Arabidopsis thaliana: one gene and its partners. The protein of the gene in region 1 binds, or shares a complex with, the protein of each later gene. Each region holds a gene or a part of one and is shown on either strand. Other genes may lie near its edges.

Evidence for each region.
Region 2: AT5G63480 (region 1) and SFR6 share a complex: the UniProt entries of both Arabidopsis thaliana proteins name them as parts of the mediator complex.
Region 3: AT5G63480 (region 1) and AT3G52860 share a complex: the UniProt entries of both Arabidopsis thaliana proteins name them as parts of the mediator complex.
Region 4: AT5G63480 (region 1) and AT3G01435 share a complex: the UniProt entries of both Arabidopsis thaliana proteins name them as parts of the mediator complex.

The regions. Positions count from the first base shown.
Region 1 is NC_003076.8:25,415,375-25,419,198, forward strand, and holds AT5G63480 (mediator of RNA polymerase II transcription subunit), read left to right. Parts: upstream 1-1,874; 5' UTR 1,875-1,942; coding exon 1,943-2,320; intron 2,321-2,574; coding exon 2,575-2,667; intron 2,668-3,000; coding exon 3,001-3,099; 3' UTR 3,100-3,261; downstream 3,262-3,824. Other genes in the region: AT5G63460 (SAP domain-containing protein), read right to left, coding at 1-25; NF-YC4 (nuclear factor Y, subunit C4), read right to left, coding at 958-1,710; AT5G63490 (CBS / octicosapeptide/Phox/Bemp1 (PB1) domains-containing protein), read right to left, coding at 3,342-3,533, 3,671-3,760. UniProt on the Arabidopsis thaliana protein: Component of the Mediator complex, a coactivator involved in the regulated transcription of nearly all RNA polymerase II-dependent genes.
Region 2 is NC_003075.7:2,496,272-2,500,972, forward strand, and holds the start of SFR6 (sensitive to freezing 6), read left to right. Parts: upstream 1-1,659; coding exon 1,660-1,997; intron 1,998-2,074; coding exon 2,075-2,143; intron 2,144-2,233; coding exon 2,234-2,322; intron 2,323-2,405; coding exon 2,406-2,518; intron 2,519-2,629; coding exon 2,630-2,731; intron 2,732-3,175; coding exon 3,176-3,266; intron 3,267-3,453; coding exon 3,454-4,050; intron 4,051-4,258; coding exon 4,259-4,701. UniProt on the Arabidopsis thaliana protein: Component of the Mediator complex, a coactivator involved in the regulated transcription of nearly all RNA polymerase II-dependent genes.
Region 3 is NC_003074.8:19,591,338-19,594,537, reverse strand, and holds AT3G52860 (mediator of RNA polymerase II transcription subunit-like protein), read left to right. Parts: upstream 1-1,769; 5' UTR 1,770-1,796; coding exon 1,797-2,016; exon of another isoform or gene 2,017-2,206; coding exon 2,207-2,322; intron 2,323-2,405; coding exon 2,406-2,540; 3' UTR 2,541-2,690; downstream 2,691-3,200. Other genes in the region: AT3G52870 (IQ calmodulin-binding motif family protein), read left to right, coding at 60-206, 304-396, 525-626, 733-1,173; VSR1 (vacuolar sorting receptor homolog 1), read right to left, coding at 2,848-2,943, 3,043-3,155. UniProt on the Arabidopsis thaliana protein: Component of the Mediator complex, a coactivator involved in the regulated transcription of nearly all RNA polymerase II-dependent genes.
Region 4 is NC_003074.8:165,952-170,250, forward strand, and holds AT3G01435 (uncharacterized protein), read right to left. Parts: upstream 2,338-4,299; 5' UTR 2,155-2,337; intron 2,103-2,154; exon of another isoform or gene 2,080-2,102; 5' UTR 2,034-2,079; coding exon 1,767-2,033; intron 1,079-1,766; coding exon 902-1,078; 3' UTR 563-901; downstream 1-562. Other genes in the region: AT3G01430 (NHL domain protein), read right to left, coding at 1-186; PnsL3 (PsbQ-like 1), read left to right, coding at 2,527-2,803, 2,948-3,234, 3,358-3,456; AT3G01450 (ARM repeat superfamily protein), read right to left, coding at 3,952-4,239. UniProt on the Arabidopsis thaliana protein: Component of the Mediator complex, a coactivator involved in the regulated transcription of nearly all RNA polymerase II-dependent genes.

The DNA of each region.
Region 1 (3,824 bases):
ATGGTTGAGATGATGAAGCCTCCATTGACAAACCACTGATAAACCCTAGCCGAGGAAGACGAACCCAGAAGAGCAAGAGAGGGCGAGAGAGCAAAGAGAGAACAGACAGAAAATCGTTTAGGAACAAAGCGGCACAGAGATGGTCACCGTCCGATTGCGTCTATTGGAGAAAGATATGGGCCTTATTAGGCCTTAAGATGATTAAGTAAGAAGTTAATATATGGGCCTTAATATAATTTATATATACATGTTAAAACGTGGTCTATTCAAAGCTAATATATAGGCCTTATCAGGCCTTAAGATGATTAAGTAAGAAGTTATTATAAGAGACAGAGAACTCAAAGCTACTACAAGCCATGAAATACAAACTCAATATGCCATACATAAGCTCTGATCATTACTAGATTAGGAGCAAGAATCAACAAAAATACAAAGCATAGATTAGAATCTGCACATTTAGATTAATATATAGTTAAGCAAGTCTGCAGTTTTGCTGCAATAACTTATAAGTTAACAGGAAAAATGAAAAAGAGCTTTTTTGTTTTGTTTTGTTTGATCTCTCTCTCTCTCTCGAGTAAGTCATTCGAATCATAGACATATAAGAATCAGACACTTGCAGGGTCGAAATGATGATTAAATCTCTAAGCTTCTGGTTCCATAGCTCAACTGCACAACATTGTACAAATAATCAAAGGTGTGAGTCAAATCAAATAATGGATATCAAAATTGTGTATTTTACAAAGTTTTGTTTATGAATCTAAAGAAATGAGCCAGATGATACTGTAAATTGAGCTTCTTTGATATTATCAATTTTTAGCTTATTTGATGAGAATCAATGAAGATGACACAGAGCAGCAAATTCCTCTAAGACTAATCAAAGCAAGCTCATGAAGAATCTCAATAACCATAGATAATCAATTGCAACAAGCTACATTGCTGAATATTACTAGAATTCACTTACCCTTGGCTATCGAGATTACCATGGCCGCTACTTCCTCCACTTCCATAAGACACATCATCACCACCACCAGCTGAATTCTGCCAAACGCTTTGCCATGCCTGAGAAGGAGGCTGAGCATAAACACCGCTAGGATCCATCGCCGGTCTTCCAATCATCATCCCTCCAGGAACCGCCGGTTGTCCCATCGGTGGATAATAATAAGGAACACCGCTCGCGGCGGGAGCAACCATACCTCCTCCACCAAGAGCCGATGCTGCATCTTCCTCTTCCTTGATCTCTTCCCTAGGAACAATATCAACAAGGAAATCGAAGATATCGGTTCTAGTAATCGCAGCAGCGATATCGTTTTTCTGAAGCGTACGACGTTTGTTCTCTTCAGCGTGAAGCCAAGATCTAATCGTAAGTTCGAGAATGAAAAGCTCACAAGCTTTCGCGAAGAGAATCGGTGCTTCGGCGGAGATCATACGCACATCTTCATCAGCTTTCATGATTTTTTTGATACGAGCTAGAGGGAGCTGATGGTTTTTGAAATCGTTTACCTGTTCGATCTCTTGTCTCTGGTATGTCCAGAACATTTGAAGCTGTTGCTGTTGTTGCTGGAGGAGGTGGTGGTATGTCGCTCCTCCTCCGGTGACTATTGATGCAGATCCAGATGGTGGAGGAGGGATTACGGTTGTGACGGCGGAGCCAGGTGGATAGACGGAGGTTGGTGGTGGTTGCTGGTTGTTGTTGTTGTTGTTATTGTCCATTGGATCTTTGCCTTGTGATTGGATCAAAAGATCAAACTAACGTTTTAGATAGTTTTTGTCATATGGATTGGAGTAATAGTGGATAAGGTAGACAGCGATGTAGCTGATTTCTTTCTATTTTTATTTATCTATAAAAACTATATTATTGATATATATATTATATAGTTTGATTAAAACGACATCGTATTAATAGTTTAGTCAACCGACGCCGTGATAAAGTGTGTTCACGGTGATGCTGCAGAAACAGGTCTCGACGACGACGACGATGACGACACAGGAGCTAGCGATGGAAGGAGAGAAGCAATTGGAAGAAACTATTGAAGCGGCGTTTCAGATAATTTCAGCCATGAATGATGAGCTTTGTAATCCGTCTTTGTGGTCTACTTCAGCTACCCCGAGTTCCGCCGCGACGACGACGGGTTCTAATGGTTCGGCTCTCGTTTCCGCCGATGCGGCTGCGATTGATGGAACATCGCATCATTCGGAATCTGCTGGTGGTGGCGGGGGCGGAGGAAGTGGAAATAGTGTTTTGGATGAGGCGAGTCTTCGGTATAAGAACTCAGTGACTTCGCTTCGTGCTGTTCTTGCTGCGATTCCAAATTCGCAGAAGGTATTGAACATAATGTGATGTTACTAACTATTTCGAGAAGTGTTTTGTTCTGAGTTGTTTCTGGACTGAGGAAATTTTGAATTCCTAGGGTGTTTTGAGATCTTAGATTAGGAAATCTTCGAATCGATAGAGAGTTTAGATGAAGGATCTAATGCTTGTTGAGTGTCTTGTTCTTCACTTGTAGTGAACTTGCTTAATTTTAAATGAGAGCTTTTTTGAGGTTTCATAAATTTGAATTTGTTCATCTATTACAGGCAAAAGCATCTGAAATGCAAAATGGTTTAGGATCTCCTGAAAGTGAAGACGAGATCGAAAAATTGGAGGAGCAAGCCTTAAGTCTCAGAATGGTAAAGCTTTCTGCAATTTCTACATCTCTTTGTTTTCAATCTGATGTTACTACATTGATACACTATTCAGTCTCGAATTCTCTGTACATTTCAACTCACATAGCATTGAATTTGATTCATATTTTCTTGTATAAAGTGTTCTTTCCCACTGTCTAGTGTAAGTGTTTGTATCATTATAGCTTAAGCGGTTCTAGAACCATGGAAATGTTGATAATTTTTTGAATACATTTCAGCCATCTGGTCATTTTGATTTCTATGTTAATAACCTTATGGGAAGTGATTATATTGTTCTTCTCTGTTGGCATTAATAAACGGAAGCTTTTGTTCATGCAGGAGATTGCAAAGAAGAATGTTCATGTTAAAGAACTTATAGATAAACTTCGGGAACTTATAGCAGATATCTCTACATGGCAAAGCCCTTGTTCTGTTTGAGTTTTATTTTTTTGACAATAGTGAGATCAGTTTAGACAAAGATTCTAAGCCTTGTTCTTGAATTACTCCATGTATTAGTTTTAGATATTTGTTATTTTGATATCATGAAGCCAAAAAAATAATCAAAAATGACTTTTGTATATAAAAATATTTCAGACAAAACCTTCAAACCCTGTGTCTGTTTTTCTTTTTTGTTTGTATTGATCTGTTAAAGAAACACTTCTTGTAGTGTTTCTGAGGAATCAATGACCGAATTTTCTGAGAAAAGCCATAAAACCAAGACCAGCTACTAATGCTGCACCAGCCGCAACTCCACTATAAGCAGCAGCCCAAGCGTCTGTCTCTACATACTCCATTGATTCTGCTGATCCTGATGCTCTTCTCCTTCTTCTTCCTTTGCCTTCTCTTGAATCATCCAAATGTAATCTCAGACTCTGCAATTTATAATGATCAAATCAATTCAGAAAGCAAAAGGGGTTTATGGGCAATCTCATGAAGGTTTCATCTTCGACTTTGGTTCTTGTTGCTTATCAACCAAAAGTTTAAAGCAGGAGGAAATCGTTCTTTTTACCTTCCAGCCAATTGATTTTGCATGCTCTATGGCTGCTTGAAGGTCACTATCTGAAGCCAACAACACTTTATCGTGGTCTTCATCTTCATACTGCACATTATAACCATCATTTTAACAATTCAGGGGGTGACAAGAGAAGAATTAGATAATGATT
Region 2 (4,701 bases), on another chromosome or scaffold:
GGAGATTTTTAAATTGAACAACTAGCTCAAGTAAACTTATAAGTAATGTTGTAAACATGGAATGAATAAGTTTGAAATTTGGTGCATTCTTAGATATGAGAAGGTGGTTAAAAGGGTATGGTGCAAAGACATATCCATCCCTAGTATTTAATAGATTGAAAGAAGGAATTTTTTTTTGGTTCTAGTTTAATGAGTGAAAATGAAAAAATAAATAAAAAGGCAAATGAAGATGAAGATGAACTCAAACTTTTGACTCTCTAATGTAATCTTATAAGCAAATAACCAACTTTTCTACTGAAAGTTATAAGAAAATGAGGCAAAAGTTTTATTTATATTAGGGAATTTAATGAAAAAAACCCTCAACTTTGGCCAGATCCATTTTTAAACCCTAAACTATGTTTTTAGTAAAACAAACCCTGAACTAAAACCTGTTAATAAACTTAACCCCACAGTAATTAAACAACGTTTAGGGTTAAGTTTATTAACAGGTTTTAGTTCAGGGTTTGTTTTACTAAAAACATAGTTTAGGGTTTAAAAATGGATCTGGCCAAAGTTGAGGTTTTTTTTCATTAAATTCCCTTTATATTAATTGAAGCCGCAAGCATGAGCTTGACCCGTTTGTGCTCATGGATGGCTCTGCTTGTATCTAGTTAGAAGCCGAAACAACTAGTTTTCAGTACGCTATGCATGTAACTCAAAGAATTTGGTGTAAGCAATAAGTGATTCTCATTCTTGGTCGTGCTACATTGAGGGAGATACAACAACCATGGGAAACACTTATGCCTAAGCCTAACTTTTGATTTGGGAGGAGGCAAATGAACTAATGCCTAAGCCTAATATTTTGCACAACTCTACTCGCGTGGCACCTCTTATCATCTTCAAATTGGTGGATCGTGAGCTTCGCAACCTAATCACTTCTCGACGACATCGCAAGCGTTGGCAGCGGCTAATGCTTTTATGGATTCGTTAAACACACCTAAATCTTTTCTAATTCTATTGTAGCCTTGTTTTTATTTTTTTTGCCTTGGTTACTTTTCTATAGGTTGTACGTTCTTGTATTTTCTGAACTCTCATTGTAATGATATTAACAAATTTAGCAAAAAAAAAAAAAAACTAATGTCAAACAAGGATCCTCAAATGCCAAATGTCAAATTAAGTTAGTACCTTTCCATGTTTACAAATTTGAATTTGAAGATGGTAAATTAGAAGAAAAAATGAAATTATGATCATTTTCCTTAATCAAAAGATTCAAAACTATCATTTAAAATTTACTTCTTCATTTTTTGCTCTTAAAAGAAAAAGTAAAAAATTACAAAAAGAGGGGAAAAAAATTTAGAGAGAAAGTGACCAGACACGACGGCGTTTTTGCATCACTTTCACCGAGATTTTTTTTCTGCATCCCGGCGACGAGACTGTGACTCCACCAAACCCTAAAATCAAAATTGCATTTTTTGTTCGATTTTGATTTTGTGGGGATTTTGGAATTTTCCCCGCACTAAGTCGTCTCGTTAACCCCACTTAACAGTTTCTCACTTTGACACTTTCTCTCTCTCTCAACGCACAGTGCTTTCTGTCGCCTTCAATCGCGACTTTTTGTCACACTTGCCCTCTTTTCTCCGATTTTTCTATAAATTTAGGGTTTTGTTTGCTTTCGTTGACATGAATCAGCAAAACCCAGAAGAAGAAGTTTCTTTGGTTAATAATAGCGGTGGTGGAGGAATCATCGAAGCTCCAGCTATAGTGGAGGAGAAAGAGGAAGAAGGATTACAGCAGAAGCAGGAAGAGACTATTGAGTCTACCGATCCGATTCTCGTCGTCGTTGAGGAGAAATTGTTAGAGAAATCAGTAGACGGAGAGAAAGAAGACGATAATAGTAGTAGTAGTAACATGGAGATTGATCCTGTGAGTCCGGCTACAGTTTTCTGTGTTAAGCTTAAGCAGCCCAATTCCAATTTGCTTCATAAGATGAGTGTTCCTGAATTGTGCCGTAACTTCAGGTTTGACTCTCTCTCCCATCGGAAAATCTTTAAATTTCATCAATTCCTGTAAAGTTTTCTCCTTTTCTTTGTGTTAGTGCTGTTGCGTGGTGTGGCAAATTGAATGCTATTGCTTGTGCTTCCGAGACCTGTGCCAGGATTCCAAGGTATGGTTTTTGTTACTTTTCTATGTCTTGAATGTATGGGCAGTGATGAATTTCTCAATTTTCATCTTTCTCTGTTCTCATCTCTTGCAGCTCCAAGGCAAATACACCTTTTTGGATACCAATACATATCTTGATACCTGAGCGCCCTACTGAGTGTGCGGTGTTTAATGTTGTGGCAGGTATTTTGATATCAGTTAATTATTTATGAACTCGGTTGATCTAGTGGGTGATAAACGATTATGATGCAATTTTTTATATGTAGACTCTCCTCGTGATTCTGTCCAATTTATCGAATGGTCTCCCACTTCTTGTCCTCGTGCGTTACTCATTGCTAATTTTCATGGACGTATAACTATCTGGACGCAGCCTACTCAGGTTTGTGCTCCTGATCACTGGGATTTACCTTTATATTTCTTCTTTGTCTTCTGTGTCAAGATGTTTTATGACACCCTCAGATGATTTTTTTTTTGTGGATTGGTTTTGCAGGGTTCGGCTAATTTAGTGCACGACGCTACCTCCTGGCAGTGTGAGCATGAATGGCGTCAGGACATTGCTGTTGTTACAAAGTGGCTGACAGGGGCTTCCCCAGTATGTAATCTTATGTTTTGCTTATTTGCCATTCTATCAAATGCACAGCATATTTGTCCCTTAATGAGTTCGTTAAATTAGTAATGGAGGGCTTGCATGTGAGAGTGGGCACTGGGATTACTAAATCGTGAGTAATTGAACTGGAAATGTCTCTACGTTTTGGAGGAAATGAGATGGAGAAAACACAACGTCCTGGAAATCCCAACTCTCTGTTTGCAAAATTACTAGACTCCTAAAAGATCTTCCAATTTGCGTTTCTTAGATGCATTTCTTTAATGATCGGCATGAACACATAAGGAAATGAGTAACAGATAGATAATAATGCCATTGCAAAGAACATGTTCTGAAGGACTTAATATCATGTTGTTTCTGGCCACCTAGTTTGCTGCTCTAGTTTTATCCTAGGAAATTTATCCTCTATGTTTTCTTTTTATTGATAATCAGTATAGGTGGTTGTCCTCCAAGCCAAGTTCTGGTACAAATGCAAAGTCAACTTTCGAGGAGAAATTTCTCTCGCAGAGCTCTGAAAGCTCAGGTTTTCTTCTGCGTGCCTCTTGTGACTCATTTTTTGATGATATATTCAGAATTATGCACTTAATTTTAATTATGTCAGTTCCTTTGACATCCAAATATATGTGACAAGATCAATACAACATGTTCTGACGTTAGTGCATTTTCCTCCACTTTATGTGACGGTTCTGATTCTCTACCATTTGTTGCAGCTCGGTGGCCCAACTTTCTCTGTGTATGCTCTGTTTTCTCATCCGGCTCTGTTCAAATTCATTGGTCCCAGTGGCCTTCTAACCAGGGAAGCACTGCACCAAAGTGGTTTAGTACAAAGAAAGGTCTTTTAGGTGCAGGGCCAAGTGGAATTATGGCTGCTGATGCTATTATAACAGACAGTGGTGCCATGCATGTAGCAGGAGTTCCAATTGTAAACCCTTCAACAATTGTAGTATGGGAGGTGACCCCTGGCCCTGGAAATGGACTCCAGGCGACTCCAAAAATCTCTACAGGCAGTCGTGTGCCACCATCCCTTAGTTCTTCTTCTTGGACAGGTTTTGCTCCTTTAGCTGCGTACTTGTTTAGCTGGCAAGAATACTTAATATCCGAGATAAAGCAAGGGAAGAAGCCCTCAGATCAAGATTCCAGTGATGCTATATCGCTAAGTTGCTCACCGGTTTCCAATTTTTCTGCTTATGTAAGTCCAGAGGCTGCAGCTCAGTCTGCAGCAACCACAACATGGGGATCTGGTGTTACCGCTGTTGCTTTTGATCCAACTCGTGGTGGTTCAGTGATAGCAGTTGTTATAGTTGAAGGTACTGTTCTCATCCTTCTCGGAACCTCATACTGTTTCCATGATTGAATAAACATTTTCAGGTTTACGTTTAGTTTTTGGTCAATCATTTAGAAATGCTCATATATTGAAGAGCTGCCAGATGAGAAAATGCTAATTTTGTTTGAGTGATGAAGCGCAACAGCTTCAATCTATTGTTTAAAATAAATGCTAATTGTTTGTGTCTGCAGGGCAGTACATGTCTCCGTATGATCCAGATGAAGGTCCTTCAATCACAGGCTGGAGAGTACAGCGCTGGGAATCAAGTGTTCAACCTGTTGTACTGCATCAGATATTTGGAAACCCAACTTCAAATTTTGGAGGACAGGTCCCCACGCAAACTGTCTGGGTATCCAGAGTGGATATGAGCATACCACCTACTAAAGATTTTAAGAATCATCAAGTAGCTGCAGCAGGACCAAGTGTGGATGCACCAAAGGAGCCTGATTCTGGTGATGAGAAGGCTAACAAGGTTGTATTTGATCCTTTTGATTTGCCAAGTGATATTCGGACACTTGCACGGATTGTCTATTCTGCTCATGGTGGTGAAATTGCGATTGCTTTTCTTCGTGGTGGAGTTCATATCTTTTCTGGTCCAACTTTTTCACCTGTTGAAAACTATCAAATAAATGTT
Region 3 (3,200 bases), on another chromosome or scaffold:
TCAATATTGGTTTTACTTGTTTTTGGGATTTCTCTCATATAAGCCTTTTCTGGTATCAGCAAGAGAGGGAAGAGTATGAGTATGTGATCATAGAAGGGAAGATTGTTCACAAGTTAACTGGAAAGTTCTTACACACAATGCATGGATCGGAAGGAACAAAATGGATCTTTGTTATGAGTACTTTCAAGAAACTCTATGCCGGTCTGGTAAGTTAAAACCGTTATATCTTTCTATTGGTGATGAATTGATATTAGTATTGAAAAAGATTCTAATGGTTCTTTTCTTTGTTTATGTTTACTTCAGAAAAAGAAAGGAAGGTTCCATCACTCAAGCTTTTTGGCTGGAGGAGCTACATTAGCTGCTGGGAGGGTGATTGTTGACAATGGAGTTCTCAAGGTAACTTACTAAGGCCACGTCCTTTTCTTAGAGTGGTTGAGATACATGTTCATTCATATCAACTTTTTTATTATGTCTGCCTTCTGTGATTTCTCTGTTTGATCGTTCTGTTTTCGGTTTAATCTCAGACAATCTCTGCATATAGCGGACATTACAGGCCGTCAGACGATAGTCTCGACACATTTCTCGGGTTTCTCAGAGAGAACGCAGTGAACCTAGACAATGTTGAGGTAATGCCCTTGTTCTAATCTTGGCTGGTGAATGATATCATTAACTAGAGTTTGGTTGTTTAGAAAAAGAGACTACTTGAGAGCTAATATATCTATGTATGTGTAGGTGCATAAAGCTAGTGAAGATTCTGACAGCTACGATGATTATGTTAAATCCAACGGAGGATCTGAACCGGAACCGTTAAAGAAAGAGGACACAACATTCCAAGCAGAGACTGAAACAGATGAGAACGGTAACGGAACAGTGGGAACACTTGAGGAGGCAAAACGGAGTAGCTACCAGAGAACACTCTCAGGTGGACTTGGGAGTCCAAAAGCTAACGTGCCGCAGAAATCTATGCTACTAAGGATAAACTCAAAGAAACAGTCAAGATCATTACAATTGGGACATCAGTTGTCACTGAAATGGTCGACAGGAGTTGGTCCAAGAATCGGTTGTGCAGCTGATTATCCGGTTCAGCTCAGAACACAGGCTTTGGAGTTTGTTAACTTGTCTCCTAAATACCGGAGTAGCAGACTTTCTCCGACCGGGAAGCTTGATGTCTGATCATATGTTCCGTACTTCCTTATGTAGTAGTAAATGAGAATCTTTCTTCTGTAACTAATGTGTGAGTTCTCTATCTAAGGTTTTTGTTGTCATCTTTTCACATGGATGATTGTGAATCAGAAGGAAGAGAATGAGAGATGTGTTAAAAGCTATTTTCACTGATAATGAAGAGAATGGTTACAGTATTTAGTCAATCGCTTACTCATTTTACAAATTTCATTAGAAAATCCATAGCTAAAAAATCTTTAAGTAAGGATGTAACTTATCTAATTTGATGGAGATAAAAAGTTACATAAGGAATCAAAATTTGTTACAAAAGCCATCATCTGTTATATCTTGTGACATCAAATCAAGAGTAAAGTATCAGAAAATGTTGTTCCTTCTCCTTACTATTGTTTTTTCATATGAAATAAATGATTTACTTCATATATTTATTAAAAATGAATTTTCAGTGTTTTCAATTAATTACATCAAAATGATATTCTTAAGAACAATTAAGAATGTGGAAAAGGCCCAATAAGCCCAAATTAAATCCAGTAAATGGGCCCCCATTATAATATTTTTCACTAAACCTTATGGGCAAACAAACAAGCAGAGAGAAAGAGAGATCGAGATCGGCGTGAATGGATTATCAGCAAAAGCCGCCGCAGTCTTCTGACCCTTCGCCGTCACCGCCTGACCGTCCACCGGGAATCAGATCACCGGAGACCCCCTCGAACAATCAGAATAATGACATAGAGGACATTATGGCTTGCGTCACAGCCTTGGAAGCTGCTCTGTTACCATGTTTGCCGGCGAGAGAGCTTCAGGCCATCGATCGCTCTCCTCACCCTTCTCATCAAAGTCAGTCCCTTTTCTACTCTCCAATTTCACCATTCTAGGGTTTTAGTTTGAATGATAGTTTGGAAGTTGTGTTTGTTTTTGTGCTTAACTTATGATCTCAGTGAATTTTGTGCTTAGAATTCAGTTGAAACCGAAGCTTTGATTCCATATTCGATGTTCTAGCTTAATTCCCCTCATTGAACTGCTGCAGTTGATGTGGAGCGGCACGCCAGAGATTTCATGGAAGCTGCGAAAAAGCTTCAGCTTTACTTCATGGGACTAAAGCGAGAAGATCGCGCGCCCTCGAGAGCTGAAAGCCTTAAGAAGGTGTGGTTTGATTTACCAATGTGAAAACTCCAAACACATATTGTCTTACCAGTTTCTGCTCTCTTCTGTTCTGTTCTTAACAGGATATTGCAGTAATGGAGGAAGAGCTTAAGACAAAAGATGAGCTTATAAAGAAGCACATGAGGCTTTTCCAAGAGTCGCAGAAGCTTGTGAAAGAACAGATTGAGAAACACAGAGATGAGCTGGAGAAAGTTTAACAATCTCTCAATCAAAGTTTATTGTTTTTCTTCTTATGGATCTTAAGTTAGTTTCAACAGTAAATAATGTAACACTCATTATTCATCCAGTTATGTCTATTTTACATTGTAAGAGTAATATGCAGACAAAAAGGAGATTCCATCTGCAAATCCACATTTCTTACAAATAGTGCAGGTACACTTATTTCTGTTTGTGGCTTTTTTCTTTTCTCTAGAGTTGTATCAAGTCCATTGATTCATTTACATGGAAACTTAAAGCTACTCATAGAAAGAGAGAGAGTCTCTTGGCTTGTGTTGATAACTTCACTCATATATCCATATGGTGACCACTTGTGTTGGGTGGTTGACTTTCCAATGGCATGTACTGTGCCATGATCCCTCTAATTTCCGCATCCATGTAACTCTGCATAATTTCAATTGTTACTTAGCATCTCTATCTAGACCGCAAAATCTTCCTATGTTTTAATATGATAACAAGACCAGAGTAAAGAACATCGTATACCCTGATTCTGTATTTGTAGACTGCATATCCAGAAAGACCTGCAACACCCACCCCGATTATAAGGATCCACAAAAAGCTCCAGCTGAGTTTTGTGGTTCCAACTTTGCCTGAACCTACACATTCACCAGATTCAAAAGCAGAAAGTCTGATTAATGACT
Region 4 (4,299 bases), on another chromosome or scaffold:
TCGCTCGTCGGGTTCGAGTTTGTCGACGGTCGTGATCCGTTGCCACCACACAGATCCGCCGCGAGTTGATGGCTGAGATGAGGCAAGGCAGGGCATGAGGAAACAACAACCTCGCTTCGCGAACAACGCCTCGTGCATATCGTCGGTGGCATCAACTTCAGCGATCGGCGGCGATTGATGACTCATTCTCAGAGAGAAACAGAAACGAAGGAAATATGGAATTTCGTCCTGATCTAGCTACTCTCTTTTGTCTCCTTAGATCGTCGTTCCTCTTCTCATCTCCAACTCTAAACCCTAATTTTCTCCCTCTACCCAAGAGATTTCTATCACCTTCTCCAATCAACGCGTCTCTTGAGCTGTAACTAAAACAGAAGAGCACAAAACGGCGTAACCGCCAACCCGGCAATATTGGTTCTCATTAACCCTTTTTAACCGCTTTGGTTTTATCACATCTAACCGGGAATTTCAGCTGTTGATGCTATTAATTTATTAAACCACATATGAATGAAGGGGTTCATATACGTAATTGACGTTAGCACATTTGGTTCCAAGTATTGATCGATACATTAAACCGCAATAAAATTGGTCCGTTTCTCTCTGGCCCAAAATTGGTTCGATTTCTCCATAAGCTGAAATTGATAACTCCCAGTGGATGTAATGTATCTAATATTCTTGGAACAGATTCATTGCAAGTGAATGTTCTAACCAAAATCACCTAATCTTTTTGCAAAATCTAATATAGTAAGTAGGATAATATCTTACTTTTGCAACAAGCCACTCATTCGTAAAAACCGGACATACTTTAATGGGATAACCTACAAGTCTACAACTCATCTGGAAACTATATCACAACCGATGGTTTAGTATAGTTCTTCAAGTAACCTTTTTATGAATACCAATATCAATCAGAAGAAGGATACCGGTCAGCAGTTTGTTTCAGATCTTCAAGCTGCGTGAGAACATATTCAAGCTTCTGGAAGCAGATCTCATTGGCTATTCTCGCGTTGTAATCGCATTTCTCAAAGGGACGGTACTCGCAAGCGCTTTTGATCTCTTCCCTTAGTGTCACTTGTATATCCTGCAAGTTTCACAAGAACTTCATCTTATTATGGATTGGCGATAACATTATAGCACATTTATGTACAGTCAAAGATCAACAAGTTCATGAACCAGACAATGAAGCTGATATCTTCAAACTTTATGATTATCTCTAGAAAAAAAGCAGAATCAAAAGCTTTTTACTTGTTCACAGAATGTAATGATCCCTAATCTAGACATGTGTCAAATGAGAGCCCAAATGTTCTTTAAACAGTGAGATTCCATCCAATATGAAAATATCAGCATCCATCACTCATAAACCTTAAGCCTAAGAATAAAGGATCAATGTCAAATCCTAAGAAACAGGAAAGGAATACAAACCTAGAGATTGTGATACATGAACCCATATGTTAACTAGTCACAGAAGAATCACAAAACGAGAAGCAGCGGCCATCTTGAAGACTAAAACCAAAATCAAAATTCTAAACAAAGCCCTTAACTTTGATCAGGAAATGTAATGAACCCTAATATAGACTTGTGTCAAATTAGCCCAAACGATCAACACTCGAGAAAAGATACCAATTCCCCAGAGAGATTGAGTCAGCAAGAACACTAATCTAGCTAGACTTGTGTCAAGTGATCCCCAATGTTCTTTGATCAGGTAGTTTATTAATACACTAATGCAAAAGAAATCAGAAAATATTTGAAGAAGAGATAGAGTAAGAAACCTTCATAGATTGCATAAACTCTCGGCAATGGCTGTTGACGAACTCTTTCTTGGGACCAGAAGGGCTCGCGAGTTCTTCCATCACTCCACCAGCTAGTTCCAAAACCTTAACAACTCTCTGCCCGGAAAACCAAAAATAAAAACACAAAAACACATTCACATCAAATCGTCCAATAAAATCTCTAAGGAAAGAGTGAGTTTTCCAAAATTTCACATTCTCAACATTCTGGAGTCGCTGCAACGAAGTGTTCTGCGTCTGCGGATCCATTGGACTCTCCACGATTTCTTTTAGACCAGAGAGAGAGAACTCCAAACTGAGATATATCACAATACCGTCAAATCCACTCATACACATACCCTAAATACTCAAATCGGAGCAGTGGGAGTACCTCAATCGAACACGGCGACGCGAGACAGTGAAGATGGCAGAGACGATGAAATAACACGGAGAATTTCGATTGGAAACGGCGTGCTTATGATCAGCAACGGAGGGAAGATTTTGGGGAATCGGCGACACTCGGCAATACAGATCGGTGAAGGAAAAAGCAAAGAAGATACAAGTTTTTTTTGTCACGTAAAACGGCACGAACTCTACTTTATCAATTCAGGAACAGCGAGTAGTTAAAATATTGAATTACGAAAACACCCCTTGGTTCAGATAAAATCTTTGTGATGGCCGCTTTTCTCATTTATAACGGATAAAAACCGTAAACAATACACAAGAACAGAGGCTGACACCTAAAGCTTACTCTCTAACTGCAATGGCTCACTTCATAGACCTCAACAGTCTCACCAACACTTTACCGTCTCTTCCGAAACTACCCGAGAGTCGTAAAACCGGGAAATCCAGCGGGTTTGCTTGCAGGAGAACTGAAGAATTTCAAGAACCGGATTCGGTACAGATCACAAGACGGATGACATTAGGATTTGCTGTCTCAATAGGTCTTACCGGAATTCTCGGCGAAAATAATGTTTCCTTGGCACAAGACAATGGGTTTTGGATTGATGGTCCTCTTCCAATTCCTCCTATTTACAACAGTAAGCGCCATTTTATATTCTTGATTGTTTTCTTTCTTCAAATGTTTGAACATTTTGAGCCATACAACTATTCAAGATGAGAATTCGATTTGGTAGAATCATTTGATTTCCGGTTTTGAATTCGTCCTCGATTTGAATATACAGATATCGTGAATGAGAAGACGGGAACGAGAACATTCATAAAGAAAGGAGTGTATGTAGCGGATATCGGGACGAAAGGAAGAATGTATAGAGTTAAAAAGAATGCTTTTGATCTCTTGGCAATGGAGGATTTGATCGGACCAGATACTTTAAACTATGTGAAAAAGTACTTGAGGCTTAAATCCACATTTTTGTTTTACGATTTCGACAATCTCATCTCTGCTGCTGCCTCTGAAGACAAGCAACCTCTCACTGATTTAGCCAACAGATTGTTCGACAATTTCGAAAAGGTAAGTGTACTAATGAAGTCCTGGTTCGTTCAAACCGAAGAGACTATTGTTTTTTTAAAATTTCTTCTCTTTTCTGATATATCCTATATGTTTATTTGTTGTTTTCTTGGTGTTTCGACACAGCTTGAAGATGCAGCTAAGACGAAGAACTTAGCAGAGACGGAATCGTGTTATAAAGATACAAAGTTTCTTCTTCAAGAGGTAATGACCAGAATGGCATGATCCTGGTTCGGTTTATACCGGTTTACTTGCTATTGATGATCCTACATGGTTGATAACTCTGTGGTCATAAATTGTAATCTTTGCGGAAAAATATTGAGATCTAGTAATCAAAAAAAAAAAATGTAATGTATAGACCAAAATATGATCAAATTTATAACGAATTGGATTTTAATTTTTCAATCAAAGATACAGAAAGAAGAGTATATGCACTAAATGTTTAATATTGAAATCTTAGTTTTAAGAAAACATTTGGCCAAAAAAAAAAAAAGTTTTAAGAAAACCAATGTAATATAGACTAAAACATGATATATATCAAATAAACCGACTAACTTTTTGCCTAAAACTAACGGTTGAGTCGTTGAGATTTATCTTACCACATCGACATATTCACACACAAAATAAAGAAACAAACCCATAAACCAAAGATAGAGAAACAGTGGTCGTACAACGTTTACTCACAGAGGCTTACAATATCAAACTGAGGGCTTGTGACTGTCATGAACCCGCAACAAGACCCTCTCGAGCCACACCTGCGACATTGGTGACACGTATCACAGCCTGTGCACTAAGAGGTGAGAGGTTTGATTGGCAGAAGATTTGCCAAGTGACTGGCTCTGGATGCTCCTCCTTCGGTTCGACATTAGTAGTTTTCTTGTACACTGTCTGAAGTTCCAGTAAGACTGCCCGTGCAGCCTCCCGAGATTCTGGGAGTTGGTCACTGAGCTGAGACGATGCTGCTTGGACTAGTTTCTCAATTCCATATTCTCTAATGCCTTCAATGCCCTAATGATTACACAGCCAAAGAAAGGTGATGTTGGTGGGAACATGGACTGGATCCAAATT